2 linked regions of the Oreochromis niloticus genome follow. The protein of the gene in region 1 interacts with the protein of each later gene in a biochemical or structural test. Links are inferred from orthologs where the notes say so. Each region holds a gene or a part of one and is shown on either strand. Other genes may lie near its edges. The genes, in order: dapk1 and klhl20.

Region 1 (12,959 bases):
TACAAAAAAAATAAGAAAGCAGAACTCGACTCACATGACCGGAGTGCAAGCTGTGCCCGTCTCTTCATGCAGGCTTGCTGCATGCAGCATGACCGCATGCTCTGCTTAGACCTACACAGAGGTTTACTGTTATTCTAGAGCAGTACTGGCATCAACTCAGAGATCAGATATCAGCCGGCCAGCGTCGTCTGCCACTGACGGTGATTTCCCATCTGTCTTACGTCCCGTCTGGAGTCATGCATCATCTCCAGCTTTCTCCCTGCGTAGGTCAGAGCTGCATTTCATTCAGCTGCCTCTCCAGCGAGTGTCGCCCTGCAGTTGGAGCCTTCTAGTTTGGAGATTTCTAACCAGCACCTGCAGCAGGTGGATAACTGGTTAAAGTCCCGCTGCACTGGGGACCAGTCCAAGGAGGTGCAGCTGAAGTCCATGGACGAGGCGAGGAACTCACTGCCTGGACAGCTGATTGTATTATGTGTCATAAAGCACCTCTAACTGAGGCCTCTGCAGAGGAGCACCACATAAACACTGTTATTTAATCATTTAATTAAGAAAACACACGCGCTGGCTGTCACGCACAACCCATAATGCACTGCAGAGGCACTGATAATGGAAGCAATTACAGCTTTTTCTATTTCTGCTGATCTAACTGGACAAACTAAAAGGTTTGATGGGGTAAAAAAAGCCCTGCAGCGACAGAAGCTCTGAGCCTGAATGCTTGTGTCTCTGCAGTCTAACATCCCCACACATCACCATTAAAACACCGCAGCGGTGCTTCACCCGACACTTGAGCATCACACTGAGGAGGCGTCAAACAACAGACCCTTTGAGATGCTGCAAACTACGACGTCTTCAACAATCTTACTGATCTGAGGCGTGAAGTGAGACTTTTCTGTGAAGCAGTTACAGAGATCAGCTGAGCACAGATGTGGTCGGTGCTTTATTTTGAAATGAAAGGCCAACTTCTGTCAGGAGGCCTTTAAACTGAACCCAGCCGGGCTCCACGCTGCACTTTTGTTTTTGGGGAAAACTCAAAGGATGAATTTGATGCACATTGTGCAGACACATCACACTTTTTAAAGTGCGGCTCCGCAAGCAACGACTTGATGCTTTGCCCGGAGCTTCAACGGCTGACCTGCAGTTTCACAATCGTTTCTCTGACTGACACTTTATTAGGCACGTCTAACATTTCCAGTTTTCCAGGTTTTGTTCTGAAAGGCTGGAAAAACTGGGCGAGCAATGGCACACCGATCACAGAGGTGATAAAAATCAAGATGAGGCAGTGATTCTGAACAGACCTGAGAGCTTCAGCAATAATGCAACATTTATAGACAGCATTATATAAGATCACGCTGCTAACGTGTATGCTTTGGGTTTGTTCCTGCGCGCTCGCTGCGCATAGATGCTCATGCATGATGCTCGGCTTCACCGGGCATCAGGTCCTCCATGCATAAACTCTTAAGCAGCCAGTGTCGGTGTCAGTGACAGGATAGAATCACCGCTTGGGTGAATTCCCATTTTCCCATTTTGCCAAACAGAATGGGCCTTGATCCAAGTGCAGCCAGCGGCAGGCCTGGAGTACAGTCGGATCAAAAGTCCCTCAGTCTGCAGGCATGTTGGGCTTTACAGTGAAAGACTCACCAGCTTTCATCATTAACAGACTCTGGTTTATCCTAAAGTTCATCCAGTACCAACACAAATATATAACGACTGCACAGTCAGTGTGGTTTCTGCATTTTCATCCAAAACCTCTGATTTCTTCTTCCTGTGCAGCTCGTCTGTTTGTACAGTACAAGTGTTCCAATTCAGACACAGCGAGCACGCTTAACTGCACAAAAATGTCTCCTTTTGCCTCGTTTCAACACACGTGGGCTGCTAATGCAGAGGTGTCAGGCCCAGTTTGGGAGTGCTGCTGATCAGTGCGCCCGAGTGTTACATAAGACCACCTGTGTGCAGCATCTATGGGAAAGATCATTAAAACGTGACGCGGCAGCAAGGAGACGCCTGAGGACGCTGCAGGACGTCACCGGACTCAGATACATCAGATTCTGAGTGACTGATGAGAGGAGAAGTAACACTAACCTCACCCATAAAAGACGCAGCAGAAAGAAGAACAAGTCTAGTTCAGGCTGCACACATGGTGCATGTCTCTTTGTGCCCATGCAAAATAAGTTTCCCACAGACACTCATTTCTGAGTCCTTGCTGCTGGAGAGCTCTCCAACAAACAGCATGCATGAATGACAGGACTGATTGAGCAAATATTTTCTATCCCAACACTCCAGATGTTGGAATATTTAGGATGATTCAATAATGATGGTGGACGACGTGCTCTCTATTCTCCCCATCCATCCTCAACAGAGAGCGGATCCCGGCGTTGGAGCAACAGCCAATCGAGACTATCACGCTCACGTAGCCGTCTACTTTACCTCAGGCCAGAAACTCAATCCCATTACACACAGCTCCCCGATCGTCTCTGTTACTACAGCAGCTGCAGCAAGCGCAGGCTTTCCTCAGAGAGCAGGAAGGTGAACACGACACAGAATCAGCAACGTTACAAAGGCCGAGGAGCAGAAAACAGCTGGCTGATTATTACCAACGTTTCATAACCACAAACTCAGAGATCCACTTCCACAGCTGTGACTCACATCTGGGAGCTGGAATGCATCTTGGCTGTATCATTTCTGCCTTTATTATTACGTAATGACATTTTTTTTTTTTTACCGAATCAGCAATAAAGTCACAGTGAAAACAGGACAGCCTTCATGTGACTAATCTGCTTTCACTTAAACTAACTTGTGCTTAAAAAACAACATTTGTGAAGCTGTTCCATCCATCCATCCTTCATTTGGTTACAATGAAGGCTTAAAAACATCATCCAGATAAACACTGTGCTGCTGCACGTCCTCGCTCTTCTCTAACCGCCCAAACAAACTCCCTCCCTGACTGGTTTTGTCAGCTCAGCTCGAGCAAAGATGACGGTACGAGAGATTTTCGCTCGATGAGGAAGATAAAGCCAGGTCGGCCGTTTGCTCCAGTCAACAAACACGTTATGTTTGGAATCATCTGCCACATTCGAGCATCCCTGCAAACCAAACTCAGGTCCAGCTCTGTCACAGCGTTTCATACACAGTCAGCTTCTTCACCCTGATTATCAGCATCCACCTTTGACCAATCACACACGGAGTGACAACCAGGATGGACACCTCCCTGTAAAGATCTACATCAGCCTCCTCCTGCAATAAAACCCAGGAAGACACAGCAACTCTTCATCACTGACGACAAAGCATTATGGACTGCATTAATCACAGCTTATCACACTCACAGTGGGGGGATTCAGACACGCGTGGACCACAGCTCTGCACAGATGGGCTAATAAACTTTGAAACATTTATTATCTAAATAAAATAAGGTCTTTTCCCAGCATCCCCCCGCCCCGGGCAGAGAAAGGGGAAGTTGATGCGCATTAGAAAGAAGCTCGGTGTGGACTCACCTCCCCAGCTCGTCCCCGATGTCATAAAATTCCTCCACATTTTCCGGGTTGAAAACAGTCATGTTGTCCAGGCACTTCTTCCCCGACCACAGGCTCGTCACACCGGCTCTTCACAGCGACACCATCCCTACCAGCAGCCGCCGGTCTGGGCAGGGTAACGGCCACCGATCCTCCTCATGCTCGGGCTTCCACACGGAGAGGAGATCAACAGGAGGAGGGCAGAAGAAACGAGAGCATTAGATTATGAAACCGTGCAGCTGCGGGAAAGGTGGGCGTGCAGTCAACAAAAGGAGCCCAAAGTGACGGAGCGGTGAACCTGCAGCTCCGGCGACGTCACGACTCCCGGAGCTGACCTGGCCGCTCTTCTCCCGGACTCCCGGCTCAGTTATCAGGCTGCCAATTTTAAAGATAATAATAACGCATGCGTGTGTGTGTCGCCACAGGCTGGAGAGGAATGCAAATAACCCCCGTGTGGACGCTTGGTGTAGCCATGGGAAACACGCTAACCTCCCGCTGCTGCTGCTTTCAGCCCGGTGAGGAAAATGACCGCTGAGGAAAGTCAGAATAACGAGCCGTCAGGACCCGCACAGGTGTCTGACCCGGTTTAACCGTGCGTGACAAAGTGCCCCCCCCCCCAAAAAAACAACTACTTTAACCACCAGACCCCTCAGCTCCCCCCGCAGTAACAGCACGGCTCGCCCCGGTAACGTTTTATTCCTCCGGAGTCTGAGATATGAACCTTAGCTGGAATGATTTCTCACCGGGAAACGGAGGGTTTACAGATTACTCCGTGGGGGTCTTACCGTGTGCCGGTGTCCGTGTCCCGCTGCCTGACGAAGCCGAGATTTCATGCGGTTAGTGGGAGGCTGTGATCCAGGTTCGGCTCACGGAAGACAAAATGCTGCTTTGAACGGGAGAAATCAACGTTAACAATGTGAGGCAGGCTGGTCCTGGTGCTGCGTTCACGGGCTGGGGTTGAAATGGAGATCGGAGACTTGGAGCGACCGGAGGACACTCTGTGTGTATTTCACGTTTTACCGTTAAAAGAACAACGATGAGGTCAAGAGATCAAAGGAAAAATATAAATAGTGATTTTACTAAACGTCACTATAATCGGCGGGTGTTTGTCAGCCGAATTGCTAGGAAAACGTAGCTGAGATGTCCGAGTTTCTACGTGTCTTGAAGGCAGCGCAGGTGTGTGAGCTCCTTCAGTCGCAGGAGGGCAGCAAACCTTCACTTTGAATCACAGAAGCTGAGAATTTGTGCAAAAAACACGTTTTTATGTAATTCAAACGTTTTATGTTAATCTGTTTATTTTACTCCCTTTAATGTTTTAATAATTGTTTAGAGTAAAAGTAGCAAAATCCAGACTTTTTGTCAGTATTGCAACAAATTTACATCTGTCAGCTGTTATGTATCACATTTTAGGGCCAAAGCTGTTATTTATTGTTTTTCCTCACCTCAAGTCTTTTTACAATTAAAGAGCGAATAGTTATGCTTACATGTCTCTGTAATACAGTAATAAAAAGGAATCTAGTTAAAGCATGCTAACTGTATGAGGCAGAACTACATTTCTCTAAAAAGCACATGATACATTTGTCAGCTGGTTCAACATCATGATATTTGTTGTTATTATGGTAAATAAGAATATTTTTATAGAGTGGAAACCAAAACATCAGCACTCAGGGAGCATGGACGGCACAAGTTTGTTTCCAGCCCCATCGAAAGATTTTAAAAGAGCCTCGTACCTCAAGCCGCGACCTGATGCTGAGCTCCTGTTCAATGCTTTCTGATGAATCAATTTTCTGCTGGGAGAATAAAGACTGAGGATTGATAAAGTCTCTGGTGAGTGGATCAAAGTGTCCTCTGGGTGCAGCTGAGGCAGAGACGTGACTGCTGAGATTCTCAGAATCAGAAGAACTTCATGTCCATCTTACAAGGTTTGAATGTTTCTAACACTGTCTGATGACTTTAATGTTTTATTAAATTTGAATGATTTTCTATGTGGTCTCAGATGTCTGGACAGACAATACACTGCATATTCAAATATAAATACTGCTCCTTGTGCTTTTTAAATACCTTCTGGGGTTTGTGAATGCAGACTGAAGAAAGAACTGTTGGTTTAACTGCAGCTCCACTTGAAACCAACAAGCTGGTTTTTGTGTTTTGGAACTAAAACATGTAAAACTGTAGCTTTTGCATGTATTTATGTTTATTTAAGAGAGAGAAGAATAAACATATGACCAGTATCTAAAGTAAAATGCAATATGAGATTAAAAAGATGATATTTAACTGTCAGTCTGTGAAGAAAGTTCTAAACACTGTAGTATGAGCCTGATTTTGGTGTTTTTCAGTAAAAAACTTCTCTTAAAGACGTGATGTATAAGAATAAATGAATAACTCACTAATCCCTTATGCCCAGATGGTAAAAAGGCAGTTTACACTCTGGATGATTAACAAGGAAACAAACTTTATAGATTAAAGCAGAAAGTCTCTGCTGACCTTTCACTCTCTGGGCGTCTTCATGCCTGATTCATATTTTGCATTTTCAACCAAAGCCAATGTTTACAGCTGATCACAGCTGCAGGTCTTTTCTCAGCAGCTGATCTTCGAATATATAGATTTAAAAAGCTAATATTTAAAAATATTATTTATTTATTTTTAGTCAAGCATCTCAACCAAATAAACTGTGAGATGATTAAAGCAGCAGAGGAACGTTTGGGCTGAAAAGAGGAAAATTAAACGACTCCTGTTGTCACAGTTTGCAGCCAGAGGGACAGATGAAGAGTTTTGAAGAAGATGATGTCGTTGGTGCACCAAATGGTTGGATTGGATTATCAGCCAGTATTAAACAGATTACCACCCTGAGAGGAAACACAAAGTCTGCTAACTTTGTTTATCTTTTGGCTTTTCCACCTCTGACATTTCCATCAGCCCCTATTAACACCAGAATAACAGTGATGTGACAGCTTAATAGTAATATTATGCTCTTAACCCAAAGCAGGTTTTAGTGCTTTGTCAGAGATTTCATACAAGTTAGGACACAAGCGTAAAAAAAAAAAATTCAATGATTTGCGAAACTCAGATTTAACTGATAACAGAAGATAGAAAATACACCAAGTGTTTAAACTGAGTGTTTGTACACTGGAATAAGTCTCTCTGTCCAAAGTATTTAAGTGAGGAGCAAAAACTGCTTTATTTTCACTCACTTTAAACAAGCAGTGTGCGCCATCTGGTGGCCACAATGGCAAACTACACCCAATAAGAACTAAAACCAAGTACAGAGATTACACTTCAATGTTAGCAATAAAAACTGAAAAAAATATCTGAAAATTGTTGTTTAAAATCAAGACAAAACTATGACTGCAGTTTATCATCACATTACTGTACGTGAATGAGTTTGTTATCTTCAGTGTAAGAGCATCAGACCAACAACATAAGGACTGGCACAGGCAGACCTGGCAAACTGCACATAGAAACACCTCAGCCAATCCGGAGGTTTGTATCCAGGACCACAGCACCAACAGGAACCTCCAAGGACATGAAGACACTGCTGTGGGACAGGAAGCACTCAGAGGGTGTTGTGGTGTTTTTCCAGGGAGCTGAGCGCTGGGGGGAGCCCACATGCACGCGCATGTCTGAGTTATAATTTGTTTCTGAGGTTGTTTCACCACAGTGGCAAGTAAACATCATTCAATGATAACTGAGCAAAGTGATCAAATACACTGAATTAATACCAAAGTCATCTGTCTGACGATCTTCTTTTTCATTCTTTCCTTTGGGATAGTTGCTACTCTTTCACTTTCAATTTAGTTTTATTTATACAGCACCAAATCACAACAACAGTTGCTTACGGTGCTTTATATTGTAAGGTAGACCCTACAATAATATATACAGAGAAATGGCCCCCTATGAGCAAGCACTTTGGCGACAGTGGGAAGGAAAAACTCCCTTTTAACAGGAAGAAACCTCCGGCAGAACCAGGCTCAGGGAGGGGCGGGGCCATCTGCTGTGATTGGCTGGGGTGAGAGAAGGAAGACAGGATAAAGACATGCTGTGGAAGAGAGACAGAGATTAATAACAGATATGATTCGATGCAGAGAGGTCTATTAACACATAGTGAGTGAGAAAGGTGACTGGAAAGGAAAAACTCAATGCATCATGGGAATCCCTGGCAGCCTACGTCTATTGCAGCATAACTAAGGGAGGATTCAGGGTCACCTGGTCCAGCCCTAACTATATGCTTTAGCAAAAAGGAAAGTTTGAAGCCTAATCTTGAAAGTAGAGATAGTGTCTGTCTCCTGAATCCAAACTGGAAGCTGGTTCCACAGAAGAGGGGCCTGAAAACTGAAGGCTCTGCCTCCCATTCTACTTTTAAATACTCTAGGGCAGGCGTAGGCAACCTTTCTGATGGCGAGTGCCATCTAAAATTTCCTCAGAAGTCAGTGTGCCATATGATTGCATTAGCAATAAATTTATTAACGCTTTATATTAATAGTTACACACTATATAGAACAACTTTATACAATTATATTTGTTCGCAGATGTTGGCAGCTATTATCAGCTATTTTGAAACAAAAAAAAGACACTTTTTATCCATAACAGCAAATGAACTGTACAACAGAAAATACAAATGCTATTTATGGTCTCCTCACAACAATGATAAGAAAAATAAACTGGGCCAATATGGCATGTTTGTTAATACAGGGATACACATGTTAATGTGATCACTGGTCTCCCACTCAGAGACACAGGTCTCCGAGTGTCCAGCGTTCAGACGGCTACCTGAGGACACTCATGTGAGAGAAAATCTGCTCACACAGATATTAGAGCCAAATACTGTCAATAAGGCCTCTGCAATGTTCTGAAGACAGTTAAACTTGTCAGGCAGTGATGTCCAGCAGGTGAAAATGCAGCTCCATGAACACGCACAGCTATGGATTCCAGCTACTTCGATGTTGCATTAACTGGCATTAACTCAGCCAGTTAATGTGAGACAAATCCAGCTGCTCATTAAAGATTTCTGGTTTGATCAGAAAAGAAAACATTGGTTCAAACACCTGAAAGTCCCAAAAATGCATTGTGAATTCCAGTGTTGGGACTAACGCGTTATTAAGTAACACGTTACAGTAACTACGTTATTATTGTGGTAACGAGCACGGTAACTAGTTATTATGCTAAAATCCGGAACGCGTTACTCGTTACTGGGATTTAGATAGGCTCGTTATTTGTTACTTCGTGTGGTGGATATCGCGGCGCTTCCACAGATTCAGTAACATTAGCAAGTGGTGGAGGCCAGCAGGTGATGAAGGAAAAGGGAGGCAAGAGGAGAGACCCGAAGCGGCCGCCGGTCCGAGTGTCAGGTGAACTGAACTTCAGGTAAGAAGTTATGACCTGCAGTCTATCTGGGTCAGATATAAACCAAGTTTAGGTGGAGTTTATTTTCATTATGCTGACTTTTTCGTGCTGGGTACTTGTTTTTATACAGCTGTGTGGGTGCCTCTTCTGGGGTGCTACCTTTTAGGTGACATGGATGAGCTGAAGGGAAGTTATGAGCTGTTTCTGAGAGACAAATAACACCAGGATCCTTTTCTACGTAGCAGACAGCTGGTAACTGTGCAGGGGCGGATCTAGCAAAGTGTTGCCAGGGGGGCAGGTAGGGCATTAACAGGGAAAGGGGGGGACAAAGAAATACTTTTCTTTCTTATTCTCATTTAAAATGTCTAGCATTTAATAAATAATTATCTGAGTCTTACAACAAACAATTGATAGATTGATACATATATACCATCAGAACAGTGTACATCACTGTCACAACAGCGTTTGTTTTCATTCAAAGGCTTTATGATTTTTCCTATAATGGTGGGCCGGTCTCTAGTCAAATTCCCTGGGACGATTTTTTTGTCCCAGTCCAGCTCTGTATGCAGCTCATCTGCAGTCTGGTGTTACCTACATCTTCCTATTCAGAAGGCAGAATTTCCAAGTTCTGAGTACAATCAAAAGCACCACGACTGCAGTTTTTGTGTTGGATGTAAAAAGCAGGCTAGAATCATGCGGCGGTCAACGACGGTCCAGGCGTGGGATTTCTCTCGTGTGTTATGATTTAATGTTGTCAGTGTTTTGTTTTATGTTATGTTTAAGGATTTGTTCTCGTTTCCTGTTTTATTGTGAAGGTCTGCGTCTCATGTGAGTATGTTCAGTTTTACCTCTGTCTCGTCTTGTTGATTGTTCCCAGCTGTGTTCCCCACCTGTGTGTAATCTCCCTGTGTTTCCCTGTGTGTATTTAAGTCGCGTCCTCTGTCTTTGTATTTTGGCTGGTCCGTCTGTGTATCCACCGTGTCTCATCCGTGTGTTTCCCTGCTGCCCAACCGTCATCTGTTTTCTGCTCGCTGTTATTCGTGTTCAGGTTTGTGTCTCTGTTCAGGGTCAGTAGTTTAGTCTTCCCAGTATAGTTTAGTTCTCAGTTCACCATTTTGTCCATCTCTTTTGTTGTGTTTGCCTTAGTGGCACCAGTCATTTTTAGCCGACCTGGTTGTCCATTTTAAGATAAAGCCTCTTCTCATCCCACAATCTGGTATTCATCTTTTTTTATGTTGCGGCTATGAGCCGGGTCGTAACACGTGGAAATGTGCGCATTATTTTTTCCTTTCTATTGGTAGGTGGCACAGTGCACTTGTGGCAAGTAAGCAAGCTAGAAGACTGACAATCTTGCTGGGTATCCAGTTACGGAAGCAACACATTAACAAGAGAATTCTGAGTAAAACTAAAGTTTCTTTCCCTAATAACTAGTTACTCTGAAAGTAACGAGTAACTTGAAGTAACTGAGTTACTTTTGATAGAAGTAATTAGTAATGTAAGTAAGTTACTAATTTAAAGTAACTTACCCAACACTGGAAATGACAGACTATTATTTTAAACTTTTTTTTTGGGACAGACTGCATTGGGTTCATCAAAGTGTTTTGTTTTTGCCAAAGGAAGAAGGGGGGCGGGGTTTGATTCATTTAGAAAGTAGGAAAGCAGCTTTCAGATTACAGTTTTTACAGTTTTTTTTGTATGGGGATCAAAATGTTTTGTGGAGGCAAGTTACAGACTGTTTATTTTCTAAAGTTGGTAATTTGGGGTTTGGTAAAACTTTGTTTTTGATCACTCAAGGTATGGTGTGAACTGTTTGTCACCTTTCTATGTTAGTGTGTTAAAAACCTGGAGGCTGCTGGAAACAGAAAGACGTGGAACATCTGCATCCCTGCATTGGCTATTAATGGAACTTATTCTCAAGGGGTCTCATTTAGGTTCATCCTGGGATCAGAGGTGGGTCGAGTATCCAAAAAATGTACTCAAGTAAGAGTATCATTACTTTAAAATATTATTACTCAAGTAAAAAGTAGTCGTCAAAGTTACTCGAGTAAGAGTAAAAAAGTACTTGGTGAAATGGCTACTCAAGTACTGAGTAAGTAGCGAGTAACTGTTTGAAATGTCTGATTTATTTTATAAATAAATGCTATCAGACAATCAAAAATAAATAAATATACAAATTTTAGTATTTTCAAAAGGAATATATGTAAAAAGATCCACAAAATAAGGCACAACAATTCTAATTTCAAGATTTCAGTTTTTCACAACGTAAAGCTTTTTCAAGCAAAACCCACAGTGAATATATTCGCATTTACAGCAGCCTCAGAGAAAACATTAGAACGAGGCAGCTTCAACATAACAGACTACAGCTGATGCGCCAGAATGTCATACTGGGGGTGTGTTGTGTTTTTTTTTTTTTTTTTTTTTTAAATAGAAGGAGGGATTAAGTAAATCAGAAACAAATGACACAGATGCAACAGGTATAATCAGGAAAAGTTTATTCCCAAGGCGGACAGCAGGAATTAAAAAAAACAAAAAAAAACATCTGTGCTAAAATTCCACAAGAATAGACATTCTAACAAAACTTATTTTGTATACTAAAAAACCCTGAAGTATAGACAGTGGATTAGCACAATGTAATATGTAAAAATGTAAAAACTACACTCACAAATAAACACTGAAATCAGAGTAAAACTAATTATAAAAGACACATACAAATTCCCACTATGTGGATGTACATATGTGTATGGCTCACTTTACCATAAATTGTTTCTTCAGTCAGTGAAATGGTGCTTCAGCTTGAGATGGAGGCTCTCAAGGTTCTTGCTGTGAAGCTGCGACCGTTTAGCAGTGAACAGGAGTCCTGCGTGACTAAAGTCTTTGATCCACAGCTTCTTGATCTGAGGAAAGCCATGCAATACATCCACACCTCCAGTGATTGGACAGTGAAAGGTATCTCTCCAGTTCCTCTGCTTCTGGCTTTCCTCACCCCATGGATCCATCATCTTCGTCGGTTAGGCTGCTGTTTGTGCTGGTCTCATCCAGCTCTGTGTCTAGGTGATGTCTGATGAAGTGGAGACCTGTGGAAAGATGTAAGGTTTTCAAAAGAATTAGGTCTGGTCATTATAGTGCTGTATACACTGCCAAGCTGCAGATGTTTGTTTGGAGGAAGCCTCCAAAAGCTGCCCATACACAGTGCGATTTGGCCCATTTTGAGCAGATTTTTCAGTCGCGCAACCGTTTTGGGGATCGGCCGTGTTTTGCCTTAATCGTGTGTGCATCGTGTAGTATACATGGGGTAACGATAAGCAGTTAACACCTCACGACCAGCTCCCAATCATTAATTGTATGGTCGCATGATAATCAAACCAGTTTGAAATCCTGTCGCCTCTCACACTGCGCAGCACAAACACAGAAATGAAAGAAAAGGTGGAGCGGCACGGCAGCGCAGCGTGTGATCTGGACACAAGAGATGGAGGCACAACTTGTAGGATGAGGCTCATCCGAGTACGCAAGCGTAGAGCCGCCACCGGGGCAAAAGAAAAATAGAGCTATATCACGTTATAACGTAAACAGTTTATTGTTCTAACAACATACCTTTCACGTTTAAACAATATAATATTTATATTGTACGAATGTGATAATTATGTATATTGCAATAACGTGATATTATATTGTTCAAACATGAAAGGTATATTGTACAAACATTAAAAGTATATTGTTAGAACAATAAACCTTTCATGTTATAACGTGACATAGCTCTATTTTTTTTTTTCTTTTGCCCCGGTGGCAGCTCTACGCTTCCGTATCCGAGGCTTTTCGATGTGGCCTCACAAAATTATCACGACTACAACAACCATGAAGAGTTGGATGGACATTGCTGCTCAATCACAGCTGCCTGGTCAATGTTTTTCATTAGTAATTTAGCAGTTGATGGTGTGTGTGTGTGTCTGTGTGAGTGAAAGACAGAGAGGGAGAGCGAGGGACAGATTTTGTATAAGCTTCATGTTATGGGCGCACAGTTTGAGCACTCAGGTCGCATCAGAGCATCAGGCCGTATAGTGTGAGACCTGCATCGTGACCGACGAACTTCTAACCTCTGCGATTTAATTGTACAGT
Region 2 (13,051 bases), on another chromosome or scaffold:
ATTACAGTACAATGCCATGCTTGCTTGCAAGAGGAATTTTAGTTTCACTCAAACATCAAATACTTGCATAAATGTCTCAAGGATAGAAATGAAAATATTAGAAGTTCTTAGTAACAACCACTTTGAAAATATATCTGTACTGCTAACACGAATGCTTCTGCCTGTCACAATATCACACCAAACCTAGACAAACTCTGCAGTGAGACAGCTGAATCCTCCTGTTACCACCATGTTACACAAACTGAAGAATGATATAGCCTGATCCTGTACAAAAAGACACCTTTCTAACACATGGGTCTTCTAGATGGAACTCGTGTTCCGGTGATGTCTGCAGGGGATCTGATCTGAAATGGGACCAGTTGTTTAAAATGTCCTTTAATCCTGTTTTTCCTAAAGAACAACCAAAAAATGAAGAGATGGCAGACAAAGATGACCTCAGCATTTTGCCCAAGCCAGCTAAGAGGGCCAGGACCAGCTTCACTGTGGACCAGTTACAGGTGTTGTCCACTGTTTTTTGGGTTTTTTTTTTTTTTTTGCATGCTAACTCCTGCTCTGCCATTAGAACATTTACACTTAAAAGTGTCACAACAAGTTCAACCACTAGCACGAGTGACTAAAATAATAGCACTTTGTCCTTCATGTCTACATTTTTAATATCTAGTGAATACTTTGTTCTTCTGTGAGAGAACACTGTTAAGTTACTGTTTTAATATTAAAATGATGGCTGTGTATGATTGTATGGTGACTAGTGAATGTTACTGGGGCTCTGTTTGCTGAGTGTGTTCAGAGGAAAGAACAATATAAGCCGGTGATATTTGTTTAGCTTATTTTGATGTTTTTCTGCCCTCTAGTGGCATTTGAACACCATAGGACCCTGCTACCATGGTCTGTTAAAATAACAGTGAAACTCATCTTAGATTTCAGTGATGTAAACATTTACCCATCTGTCATCTCCACTTGTTTAGGTGATGCAGACCCAGTTTGCTAAAGATAACAACCCAGATGCACAAACGCTGCAAAAGTTGGCAGACAGAACTGGACTCAGCCGCAGGGTTATTCAGGTAAAGCAGACCTGAATGACAATACTAAATGACTGCAGGGAGGTCCTGCAATAAGGTGTCACAGGATTAAGTGAGCAAATTTAGCAGTCCCTTTAAAAAGACGCATGCTTAGTTGGTTGGAGTGAGCAAATTTTGGGTCATAATTAAATTCTGTGGGTGGCAATTTTTGTAAGAATTTTAAAGTTTGCAGTAACTGTCAGATTTCTTCATAACTGGTCATAACATAAGTGCAGCTTTTGGTGCGTTGCTTTGCACTAATTGTTGGATTAATGTAAACAGTTAGAATCTGGAGCTAAATCCAGAATTTAAAATGCCAGCAAGTAACATAATGAACTTGCAAAGTTCCAGTTTTCCCTCAAGTTGAGAATAGTGAGAAATCTGGGGTATTTGCACAGTTGATAAAAAAACAAACAAAAAAAAAAACGATCTCTGCGCTTTTAAGGGAAACCATCACTCCAAGACCAGTGATTAATCCAGGCTTCTTTCATACAGGTTTGGTTTCAGAACTGCCGAGCTCGTCAAAAGAAGCACATTAACCCAAATCCTGCGCAGTCAACCATGATGACATCACTTGCTCCTGGTCAGCTGTCTCCACCGTTGATGGATGATCTCCAGTATACCACCTATATTTCTCCAGATGCACCTCTCCTCACCACACTGACCTATATGGATGGTAAGACACAAATACGGTCATTGCTATGCTGACCAGTCTTTGAATCTACGTAGCAAACTCAGAGCAAAGGTAATCTCTGCATCACTTGCTGATAGTTTGGAGGAATCCCATTTTCAGTACTGGGAATCAATTATTGTTGTTAAAATCAAAGTCTGAGATCTTGTTAGAAATCATGCTTATTTACTGACATCTGTGATCATTGAATAACTTTGAGTTTGTTACTTCCACAGTCCAAACTCCAGACCCACTTCTGCTGCAGCCACACATGTCCCATTCACTGACACAACTGCCAGTCAGTCATGCCTGAGCTTCAGCGTGCTGCCTGAAAAATAAAGCCACTGATTGCTTCATGGTTGGATGATGAGCAAATAATAGAGAGTGAGAGGAGTTGGTTTAAAATGAATTCGTAAGGACTGGATGGGTTAAATTCATAAACTGTCCAGCATATGAAGAGCACTGAATTTACACTGCTGCCTAATGTAAGCAGACACTTCATCAGCTCAAGTTACTGCATTAATTTCATGAAATGAAATGGATGAGAATTTATGTGAAAACTGATGTTTGTAAGATGAAACTTTTGTTAATGTGTTAAATTTAATTTATTTGAAGGATTTGATGAGATAAGGCACTTTGTTTGAAAATGATGTAAAATTGCTTGTTTGCTTTTTTTTTTGAGTGACGTTTTTGTTAAGGTTGCAACTGGGAATGGGATTTAAAATGCATTTTTTCCTGTCTTATGACTACTAGAAAAGTCAGGATTGAGTTACACTACTAACAGTCATTTTTTTTTTGTTGCAAAGATAAACATGTAGAATACATGTTTTGTATATTAAAAAAGCTAATGTAAACAAAACGTCAGTATTCTCCAGCTGACACTGAAAGTGTTATTGACTAAAATTAAATGAACACTTGTTGCTCAGTAGTGATATTCTTTTAAAAAGTAATACAATAAATGTGTTTAATGAATGAATGCTAGATTCTAATAGAAACTCTGTATGAAGTACACACTGAGTGAGTGGACTTGGACATTGGAGCTGACATACAGTACTCAGGTTTAGGTTACTTTATTTGAACTTGTATTCTTGGTCTGCAGCAGACAAGTCATCCATCCTCACATGCACATATCCAAAACCACAAATATGTAGAAAGCCATTAAAAGTCTACACTGCACTCTTGTAGGATATAGAAACTATGATTTGCTAATTTGAGTGATGGCTGTTGGAACAAAGTTGTTTTTATACTGCGGTGTTTTTTGGGACTATGAGCTTTCGTAAAGAAGAACGAATATGAAACTATATAAAGGGTGTGTGTTGTAAAGTATCAGCCAATATAACCAGCTAACTGCTGTAACTGATATACCAGGAATGTTCAACAACCCCTTAATGGACTTCATATATACATAATATATATATATATATATATATATATATATATATATAGCTTTTGCCATGTTTCAATGTTTCACTGAAATTAGGACTCACTGCACCATTTAACAAAATCAATGTCATGACTAAACTTTCTGCCTTTTAAAGGTTTTTTTGTGTCTGATCAAAATCCACCCATTATTTTGAAGCATTGTGTAAATTTAAATTGATTTCAGTGGTCATCAGGACATTTTAAATACAGGTATAGAATCACTAGTCAGGGGCAGATAGAGAAATCAAATTGGGTGGCAAAATCAAAGTCATGTTTTTACACATGCTGTAATATGCATTATATATGGTTAAAATACACCAAATACAATGAGTACACACATGTTTCATTTAACCCTTTCATGCATAGTGGTCACTACAGTGGACAGCTATTCAAAGGCTGTTTTCATGTATTTGTGTCAGTGTTGATGGTATACTTGCACATAAACTACTACATTCGACACTGATGTGTCACTCCATACACATCAGTTGTCCACCTAAGTGGACATGTAAAAAACTCTTTGAAAACTACATGTTTAAAAAAATGGAGTTCAAAAATCTTTTTTTCATGCCTAAAGATGAGTAAAAATACTTAAGAAAAAAATGCTGATTGAGGTTGTCATAATTCATGCATGAAAGGGTTAAATATAGTCTATCACTTAATTTTTTTTTTTAGCCCAGATAATTAAACATTTAAGTTACATAAAACATGTGAATTTTGATTTTATGTACTGTATAGCCTGTATCATAAATATGGAGCCCAACAAGTATAAAATCCAGGAAGCTACACAACATGTGGTGGTTCATTTGGTTCAAACCCAAGTCTAACTTTAGTTTCACACTTTTTCAAAAGTTTAGAAATAATTAAATTGTTGCTTAAATTAATACAAAATGCCAGAAATCTGCACTGTCATGAAACATTTTTCACCAAAATTTAAACCTAATTTTCCATGATTTATTGGGTTAAGCCTCCAGGGTATAACTGGCCATTTTTTCCACTACTTTTCATTTCACCTTTACATGTTTTTTTGTTTTTGTTTTTTTGCCTTGCCTTGTTTGCCTTGTTTGGAATCATTCTTTTCAGCACAATCTCACATGTCTGAATTAAAATTATTTTTTCATTGACATGCTGCATTAATTGATCTGAAATCACACAAAAACAAAAACAGAGTAGGGAAAAAGTTAAAGATTTTACTGTAAAAACCACAAACCTGTTCAGATAATTATTTTCACAACCTGAAATGCAAATATCAATTATAAATTTTAAAAACCTATGGACAAATTTTGTAATCAATAAAGTTATATACATCTAGTTACCTAAAAATGCATGCAAAAATGCAAAATAAAATTAGATAGCAATAAAAACAAGATGCCACACAAATTATTTGTGCCAGTGCAAAATAGTTGTTGTTTTTTTGCCACAGCACAGAGGAGAACACCACAGGCCTAAACCCTGCAGGCCTGACAGCAGGAAGTGAACCACTCCTCCTGTTTTCTACAGACAGCATTTACACTGCAATCAAACTTTGGTGGCTCTTTAGCAGCTACTGTGACATTCAGTACTGCCTTCATTGTTATGACACACAAAACAAAACAAATGGCTACAATACACACCGACTGCACGAGACAACACAACACACTAACTACACACTCCAAACACGCTAAACGTCACAAATCTCTCACATCTCAAAAACGTTGTCGACATTGCTCTCTCTTTCTCTCTCGCACAGCCGGCATTCTGAAAACTTTCTCCTCTTCCTAAATAATCAAATCCCGCGCATTGTCAAATCATTTTTTATTGGTCAACATGGTACACTTTTACACCAATAGGAAAGGGGTGGTATTTTTTTCTTATTATTTGGGCTGTCCTTAGAAAACACAGTTTTTACTGTTTCATCTGACACTAAACGTGTCGATATTATTCAGAAATAAACATGTTGTATATTTTTATGAATATAACTCTGGTTTTAGTGGCCTATCAATAAAATTAAAAAAACTGGTGTATAGTTTGAAGTCCAAACTTTCAACACAAGTTGAAATGGAGATTCAAGATGGCTGCAGCTTGTTGCTATGGAATCTTAAATTGATCGTGCGATTTGGAGATGAGGCATGTCCATCGACATTAGGGGTGGCAAGAGATTATTTTAGAGTGGCACATACCACCCAGTGCCACCTCTGTAGAGCCGCCCCTGTCACTAGTCAAATCAGATAAAACAAACAGCTTTTAAGATTTCTGATTTTATCTCAAAATAAGTTTTTAAAAAGCCTTTCTTCCCTAGAATTTATATTTCTAGATGTGAAAATGGAAGAACCTCCCAACTGAAGAGCCTTTGTTCATCTGTCTAAAGACTTGGATAAAGAGGGAAAATATTCAGTCCCCATTAATATCCATTTTTTGATGCATGTATCTAAATTAAAATTGTTTCAAATTGTTTTGTAGCCACCATCGTAGATAATTATTGTTTATACAAGCAACAGGTTTAACTATAACCCTAATGATGAATACATAATTCTTGTAATTCTAAAACGTACACAGACACACAGACACAGACACACACACGTAGGGAGAAAAAGCTAAGGTAAGCCAAATTACACAAGAACTAGACTAAAATTGGTGACAACAAGACTCAGATTCACCTGCAACTTTCTAATATTGAACAGTGTCAAAAAAGGGTACTCCTCAGTGGCATCAAATCCACCTTAACAAATGTAACATAATGGAGTGATCTTTTGATCTCTATGTGAAATACACCACTTTTCATTTAATCATTAATTCCTAAAAGGTTGATTTTGTTCATCTGGACGTAGCGTTTTCAATGGGAAAAACCTTCTGTCACTCATCCAAGTGACTTCTTCAGTCTCAGCTGACTGCAGGTTTCCCCAACCATATAAACAGTACATTTGCACAATAACTGAAACCAGTCCACTAATCATTAATTATTATTAGTTTCTGGCTCTCTTCCACAGTCTGTCTTTTGATTGATTGATTGTACTTTATTCATCCTGAGGGAAATTGGTTTAAGGCTGCCAGCCGTGCCAGCGCCGTCTTACCCTCCGACCATACATACATTACACAAACATCACATGGGGAAGACAGGTCAGAGGGGTATAACATGGAAAAGCACAACATGAGGAAAGATAAGGAGAAAAAAATAACTCTCCCCAGACTGAGCTCCAACAGGGAGATCAGTTTGAGAACAGAAAAGAAACACCTCTGCACATAGCACATGAAAAAACTCATAATACACCAAAGAAACACATGACAAGCAACAGGGGTGGGTAAAGGGTGAGAGACAGCCAATGTAGACAGTACATCCGGGCCTGCAGCCTATGCGCTGGTCTCCATGATCCACCGTCAGCATCGGAAGGGAATAAGCGTCGAAGGCATTTGGAGGGGGAGGGGGATGAGTGTATATCTGCATGTGTATATGTCTGTGTGTGTGTGTGTGTGTGTGTGTATGTGTCCAGAGTCCTATCTCCCTGCTCTCACCCCCAGCAGATGGCTCCCCCTCCCTAAGGCTGGGTCATGCAGAGGTGTCTTCCTGTTGGTAAATGGAGATAGAGTGGTTCTTATATAGCGCTCTACCACCTGAGCTACAGCCATCCCAATTAAAAGGGAGTTTTTCCTTTCCACTGTTTGATAATAGGAGGTTGTGCTATTTTGGGAGTCTTATTTTTATTATTGTAGGGTCTTTGCCTAATGATGTAAAGTGCCTTGAGGTGACTGTTGTTGTTGGAGCCAAATGAATAAAAATATATTCAGTATTCAATATTGAATTGAATTGAATTGCTCCTGCATCTCAACACACCCATTCACAGTCTCAGGTATTCTTCTCTCAAGCTCACTGTTCCTCTGCCTGTTTGTCTACCATGGGGTCTAGTAGTTCTCCTCCTCACCTCTGGAATTCCCTCCTACTAGACATCTGTAACTCTGACTCTCTCACCACTTTCAAATCCTGTTTCAGCTTCAACTCTTTATTGCTTACTTCTTACTGTCTTCCAGCTGTCATAGCCTATGTTTCTGTGTTGTAAACTTATTTTAATGACTTTGCTGATATATGGGGGTTTATCTGTTTTTGTCTTTTGTGTAAGGTGACCTTGAGTGTTTTGAAAGGTAGCTAAAATTTAAAAAAAAAAAAAAGATCAAATCATCATCAGTATGTACAGAGAAGGTCAGGAGAGGAGCAGCAGTGATTGTTTACAGGCATCTGTAAATCACGGTGGAGACTCTATTTCAGTCAATCATGTTGGGGATCTTGTCAAAACTGATGGAATATTTAATTCAGAAAGTACCTTCAGATTTTGATTCACCAAGTGGAACGCTTCTGATTGGCAGTGAATTCAATTTTCAGCATACCAATGACCTCAAACACACTACCAGTGCAATAAAAGTATGTCCAGATAGAAAAACACAACGGAACAGTATCACCTCAAACTTATTGAAGCACTAAGGGATTATCCTGACAGAGCACAGAACAAAAGGCAGTCAGCATCCAAAGAAGAGCTTTGGAACTATTCTTGAAGACTACTTAAAGAAATTACAATAACGCAGAATTCTAACTTTAATCTCAGAATTCTGACTTTTTTCTCAGAATTCTGACTTTAGAAGAAAAAAAAAAGACGTGCCCACTTTTTTTTTTTTTTTCCAGTGGCCCTAATCCTCTTCCGTACTTTTGCACAGTATTTCAGGTACATTTTTATTTTATTTTAAATTTATCTTTACGTGCGATGACATAATCCCCTACTTTTATTTTGAAAGCAAATTATCAGGAAGTGGCGCTTGACATGCGCATATTACCGAGGAAGAAAAGCTGCGGAGTTAAACAACCGACGGCTTAAAACTGTAAACATTAAGAGCCTGGCTGACTAATGTCTGTGGTTGGGATGGAACTCTAAGGTAAAACCCATTTCGTACACTCTTGCTTTTTTCCTACGTAGTTGTCATTGCTTATAGTATCAGCATATACCGCTCACTGCTGATTTAATTAATGTTAGCACTACAGTTTATAATATTCAATCCGTGGCTTGTGGGCTGATGCTAAAACAGCATCTCTGACGACCAGAGATACTCTAAACGCTTTGGATTATTCTTGAATGTCGTTTATAGTTTAAATTTGTTGTCTCTGCTATTATTAAGTTGTTTTAACGTTTGTATTGTGAAGGGAATTCCTATCTCAGTGCTAGCTGTAGCACTAGCTTTCCCACATATCCTCGGGAAGTTAAGTAGCGTTAAGAAGCTAGTCCCTATTTTCAGTTTTTTGGAACGCATTTAGCCTCGGAAGACGTCAGTTCTCCTTTTATCTCCTCTTTGGCTAAGTCACATACTAACACAACTCTTACCACAGCACTGGAAATTATTAATCGCCAACTAGTCTGGTAACTGCTAAGGCAGCTATCAGCCAACAATTAGCGTGTCTTAGCTAAGCTACATGGCGAAGAGCTAGAAATAAATAACTTACAGAGAGCTGCCTTGTGTTAACGTAGACCGATGGAGTGATATCGGGGATATTTTTGAAATAAAGCTGACGTTAAAATGAGCCTTCTAAGCCCGCTACTGTCTGGATGAACCCACACAGCGCTTTCCATTTTGGGGTCTTGTTTTCTGACTTCTCTCTGAATAGGTGAATCTAATGTATATTTCTGATTAGGTTAATTTAATCTAGTGCAGCAGCAGCTGGCTGAAACACTTGACACCTCAGTGTAACCATATGACAAAAATGAGAAGGAAAAAAAGAATGTGTGTGTGTGTGTGTGAAGGAGGGACTCCAGGTTTTGAATGAGTGGCATCAGCTGGAAGCAAGGCCATGGTGCTGCACACAAGAAATTAACTTATTTGATATTAAAATATATTAAACTCCTTATTTTTAACTTTACAAGATAAAGAACATGGAAAACACACATGTTATGTGGGACTAATACACTCCAAAGTGCCAGTATTGATCATAATACTGTCAAACTTGGTTAAAGACTAAATCTATTTGTTTAAACACACACAGAATGGAGAAACCTGCATATATATCATGTAGAGCCCAAATGGTACTATATTTTAAAGACTGCTGTTATATATTTACTTAAAAATCCAATATTGCAAATGGCTAATTCAGGCTTTACACCCAGCCACCACCAGCTTTGGATCAAGGCACTGGGGAGTTTTTTTTGTTTTGTTTGTTTGTTTGTTTGTTTTCTTTGAAGAGGTTTGCTTTTAGACAAAAGGTGCAACTGTTAAACTATGTAATGAATTAGCTTACTTCTTACTTATATATTAAAATCTTGATATTTACCTTCAGCTGTTCAGCTCATTTCTGTCCACTGATCTTCACTAATTACAGTAGGCTTAATCATGTACTGCTGTCTCTTTCCCTCTCACTGCAATGGTAGCAGTGTGTTTGAAGTTTGAAACAGTGAGAGGTACTTGTAGCATTATATTTGGAGATAGATAGCAGTCTGTTAACTCCTCAACAGTTGGTGGAAGCCAGCTTAGCATTCTGTGCCACTCGAGAGACAGAGAGCTGCTGCCAGTGCTGAGATATTTATTTTTATTTACACTATTGATATTTTATTTTTATAATCAAGTGTGTGATTTTTATGAAATGGATAAGCAGAAGAAAATGAATGAATGCTTCATTCGTATAGGGAAATTTAGAATGGTCATTGATAGTTGCCCAGTTAGAACACAATTTTAATAATGTTAAAATCACTGAGGATAAGAATTTGATCATAATTTTGGAGTAAAATATGGTAACTTGGGAATTTTTTGGATAAAACATTGTTTGGCCTAGGTGGTCTGTAAAATATTAAAATCATTCCAGGGTCTTCAGAGTTTTCTGGTAAAGCCAAGATGTTCAAATGAAGTTGTACTACACAGTAAAATGGAATGCATTAAATTAAAAAGAAAAATGACAGCAATCCCCACTAGCCAGGGTTGGTGTAGGTGTGCTTCAGGTAAGAGGAAAAGAGGAATATGATTGCCTATAGAGAGCCATGCTTTAGTGAGTATCAAAAAAGTTATTGGATGTGAAAAAAAAAACATAAATTAAGACTGGCTATAATAAGATGTATAAGTGTTTGATAGGAAATAATTGATGGGATGGAGGAAGGCTATAAGAATTTGTTATAGTGGAGTGAGATGTGAAGGAAGGGGAAAGACATTGTGAGTCACCAGTTCCTGAACATTTACAGAGAGAAGGCTTTACGTGAGTGTACTAATGATGGAGCAGATGTGTTCACTGAACTCGTGTGCACACACATAGTGTCAGCAAAACGCATACAAAGGTAGGTTTTATTGCAGGATCCTAATTTGATAGCAGTAGATTGTTTGGTCTCAGTCTAGCTGACAGAAGTGGTTAATTTGGTAGGTAGGATGGTGGTGTGGCATAAATTACAGTGAAAAATGATTATTCTGCTGTCACAAGAGGTTGTAATTTTCTTTTTCCATCAGCAGGCAGGAATCATAAATCGGATATAAAAAAAAATTACTAGTTTTTATCTTATATTTGTGGGGGTCAGATTAACTGCAGGAAATGCTGATTTGTGTTGTTTTTCTTCACAGGTTAACTTGAAAGTGTAGGACCAAACATTGTTCTTCAGTGCATGGATGCAAAGCCAATGCGCAGGTAGGTGTGGTAGTTTTCTGGGAAGAATGGCAAAAATATGTGGCTGTTAATTCCAGATTCTTTGGTTACTGTTTACCAATTTTCTTTTTAGCAGCAGTATCATATCAAATATTGTAGTCACGAAAATCCTCAAATTCCTTCAGTGGGGGAGTTAAAGATCCTCCATGTCTCTTTGACACCTTGTTATGTCACCACATAAGCTTAAAAGGCAGAAAAATCCCTGCCTTACGGAATCAAAGGGGGGTTTTCAATAGGAGTTCTACCCAGAACTCTCCATAGCACTTGGTGGTCCTGATCTTAGCTCTGCTGGTTTGTTGGGCTTTTAAATTTAGGTTTGATGGCCCACTGGAGAGAGAGGTGGTGTCACGATGCAGAGCAGGAGTCTGTGAAACAAGACTGGCTAAAAATAAACTTTTCACAGTAAGGGGAAACACCAGAGCCACTATGCAAAAACAGTGTTCATGGAGTCTGTTGTGCATATTACAGGTGAAACGGGATGGACATTGTTTTTGTTCTTTTGTTTTTCTCTTTTGGGTGGTCGAAGAATGATCAAAATGAGCATTTTTGTATAATGTAATATAATAGTATATAAGGGCTGAGGTCCCATCCAGATTATAAACATGAGCTTTTTCATGCATGTGCTGCAGCCATGAACTCATGCAGTCCAAGCAGAAACCACACAGAATGTTGGATATGTGACTGAGGTGAACTCTTTCTGTGTTCTGTCTGAGAAAAGAAAATATCCTGACCCGATTTTCCTGAAGTTAAATTGTAAAGGCAGTTTTAGTGTCATTAATGTGAAATGAAACGCTATAATTCTACATTTGTTATATAAAACAACAATAGCAGTGTGTAATTGGGTAGGTAGGACCTAATTTAAGACGTTAACACTAAGACAGAATCTAATTATTGTTTTATGCTTCATAGTTAAAAGTTGCCTGTGTTGTGCAACCAGCAGCTTTAAAGGATACTCGTTAGGTCAATTTTCAGGTCCATAATTGTAATCTTTGGCTACTGGAGTAGCTTTGTATGAGTCATTGTTCAAAATGATGCTTATTTATCTTATACTGCCTTGTTGCGGCCCCTCAGTTCATCTTCTGTCTGAAATGAGCTATTTTAGCCCTCTAAAGACCACCCACATTTATGACACTTTGATCTGATTGGCTGCCACTTACAAACATAAGTTCGGTGGAGTGTCGCCAGAGCCAAAGCTAACCGTGTAGGAATGGCCCCTACTCTGACATCATCCAATTACAGGAGTAGAAAAAAACTGTCTGAATGCCTCTGATTAGAGTCTGGAGCAGTTTAAATTTAAATCAAAATCTCTATAGGTGCAGCATTTATGTCTCTTGTCATTTACCCCACTACTTTGACTCCAGTCTTTAAAACGTTAGACCTACTTAAGCTTTTTAATTTTGTACTTTCACTATGTTAGGGCAATTCAAATGATATAATGAAAGGTCAGAATGTTTTGAGTGAAAGCAGCAGAGGCTCAGGGTATCATGACTTTTTCTCCTCAGTAACATATTCTCAGGCCAACAGTTCCTGTGAATGCTGGCTACATGAAGTTCCTTTTTTAAAAATATCACAGCTGTTTTGTCTTGTCGCTGAGTTGCCCTGGATTACATTGCATTTTATTTTCACATTATTATGTGAAAATATGTCACTGAAAGGATATTTGACTAAGATTTGAAACTGTACATTATGTATTAAATACAATCCACAAAATGTCTTTAACAAAGGTCATGTATGTGCAATGATGTAATTTCTCCCATCTGTAATGGTAAGGACACAAAGTGAAGAGGATGCGTTCAGGTGTTAGGAATTCTTGGCCAGTACTGGGAACATGAGCTGTAGTAAATCCCAAACCCAAAGTCATCCTGGGATTTAAAAAGATGCATGGGTACACCAAGTCAACCGACCGGTGTGGATAAGTTTACACTGGCTGAGGCATATGCAGGGTACTGACCTTGCTATATTAGGTTTAGCTGATGGCCATAGACCGACACTGTATTCAAATTAAATTTTATTTATATAGCATGAAATCACAACAACAGTCGCCTCAAGGCGCTTTATAGTGTAAGGTAAAGAGCCTACAATAACACAGAGAAAACCCCAACAACCAGACAACCCCCTATGAGTGAGCATTTGTCAACATTGGGAAGAGAAAAAAGCCCATATAACAGGAAGAAACCCCCGGCAGAAATGCGACGGCTATGATCGAGCCAGTTTTTACCGGCATTTTAATGATAATCCTGCAAAGAAGCTCAGAGACACACAGACACAGGGGGC

What was found.
Region 2: the proteins of dapk1 (region 1) and klhl20 are reported together in a solved structure, tested with the Homo sapiens proteins (2 studies listed by BioGRID and IntAct, with this or other methods). The link is inferred for Oreochromis niloticus from reciprocal best matches to the Homo sapiens genes DAPK1 and KLHL20.

What each region holds. Positions count from the first base shown.
Region 1 is NC_031977.2:36,008,355-36,021,313, forward strand, and holds the start of dapk1 (death-associated protein kinase 1), read right to left. Parts: upstream 5,362-12,959; 5' UTR 4,292-5,361; intron 4,232-4,291; exon of another isoform or gene 3,805-4,231; intron 3,674-3,804; 5' UTR 3,551-3,673; coding exon 3,489-3,550; intron 1-3,488. UniProt on the Homo sapiens protein: Calcium/calmodulin-dependent serine/threonine kinase involved in multiple cellular signaling pathways that trigger cell survival, apoptosis, and autophagy.
Region 2 is NC_031982.2:2,795,872-2,808,922, forward strand, and holds the start of klhl20 (kelch-like protein 20), read left to right. Parts: upstream 1-7,906; 5' UTR 7,907-8,043; intron 8,044-10,695; 5' UTR 10,696-10,736; coding exon 10,737-10,759; intron 10,760-13,051. Other genes in the region: LIM/homeobox protein Lhx8, read left to right, coding at 397-497, 966-1,061, 1,554-1,734, 1,965-2,041. UniProt on the Homo sapiens protein: Substrate-specific adapter of a BCR (BTB-CUL3-RBX1) E3 ubiquitin-protein ligase complex involved in interferon response and anterograde Golgi to endosome transport.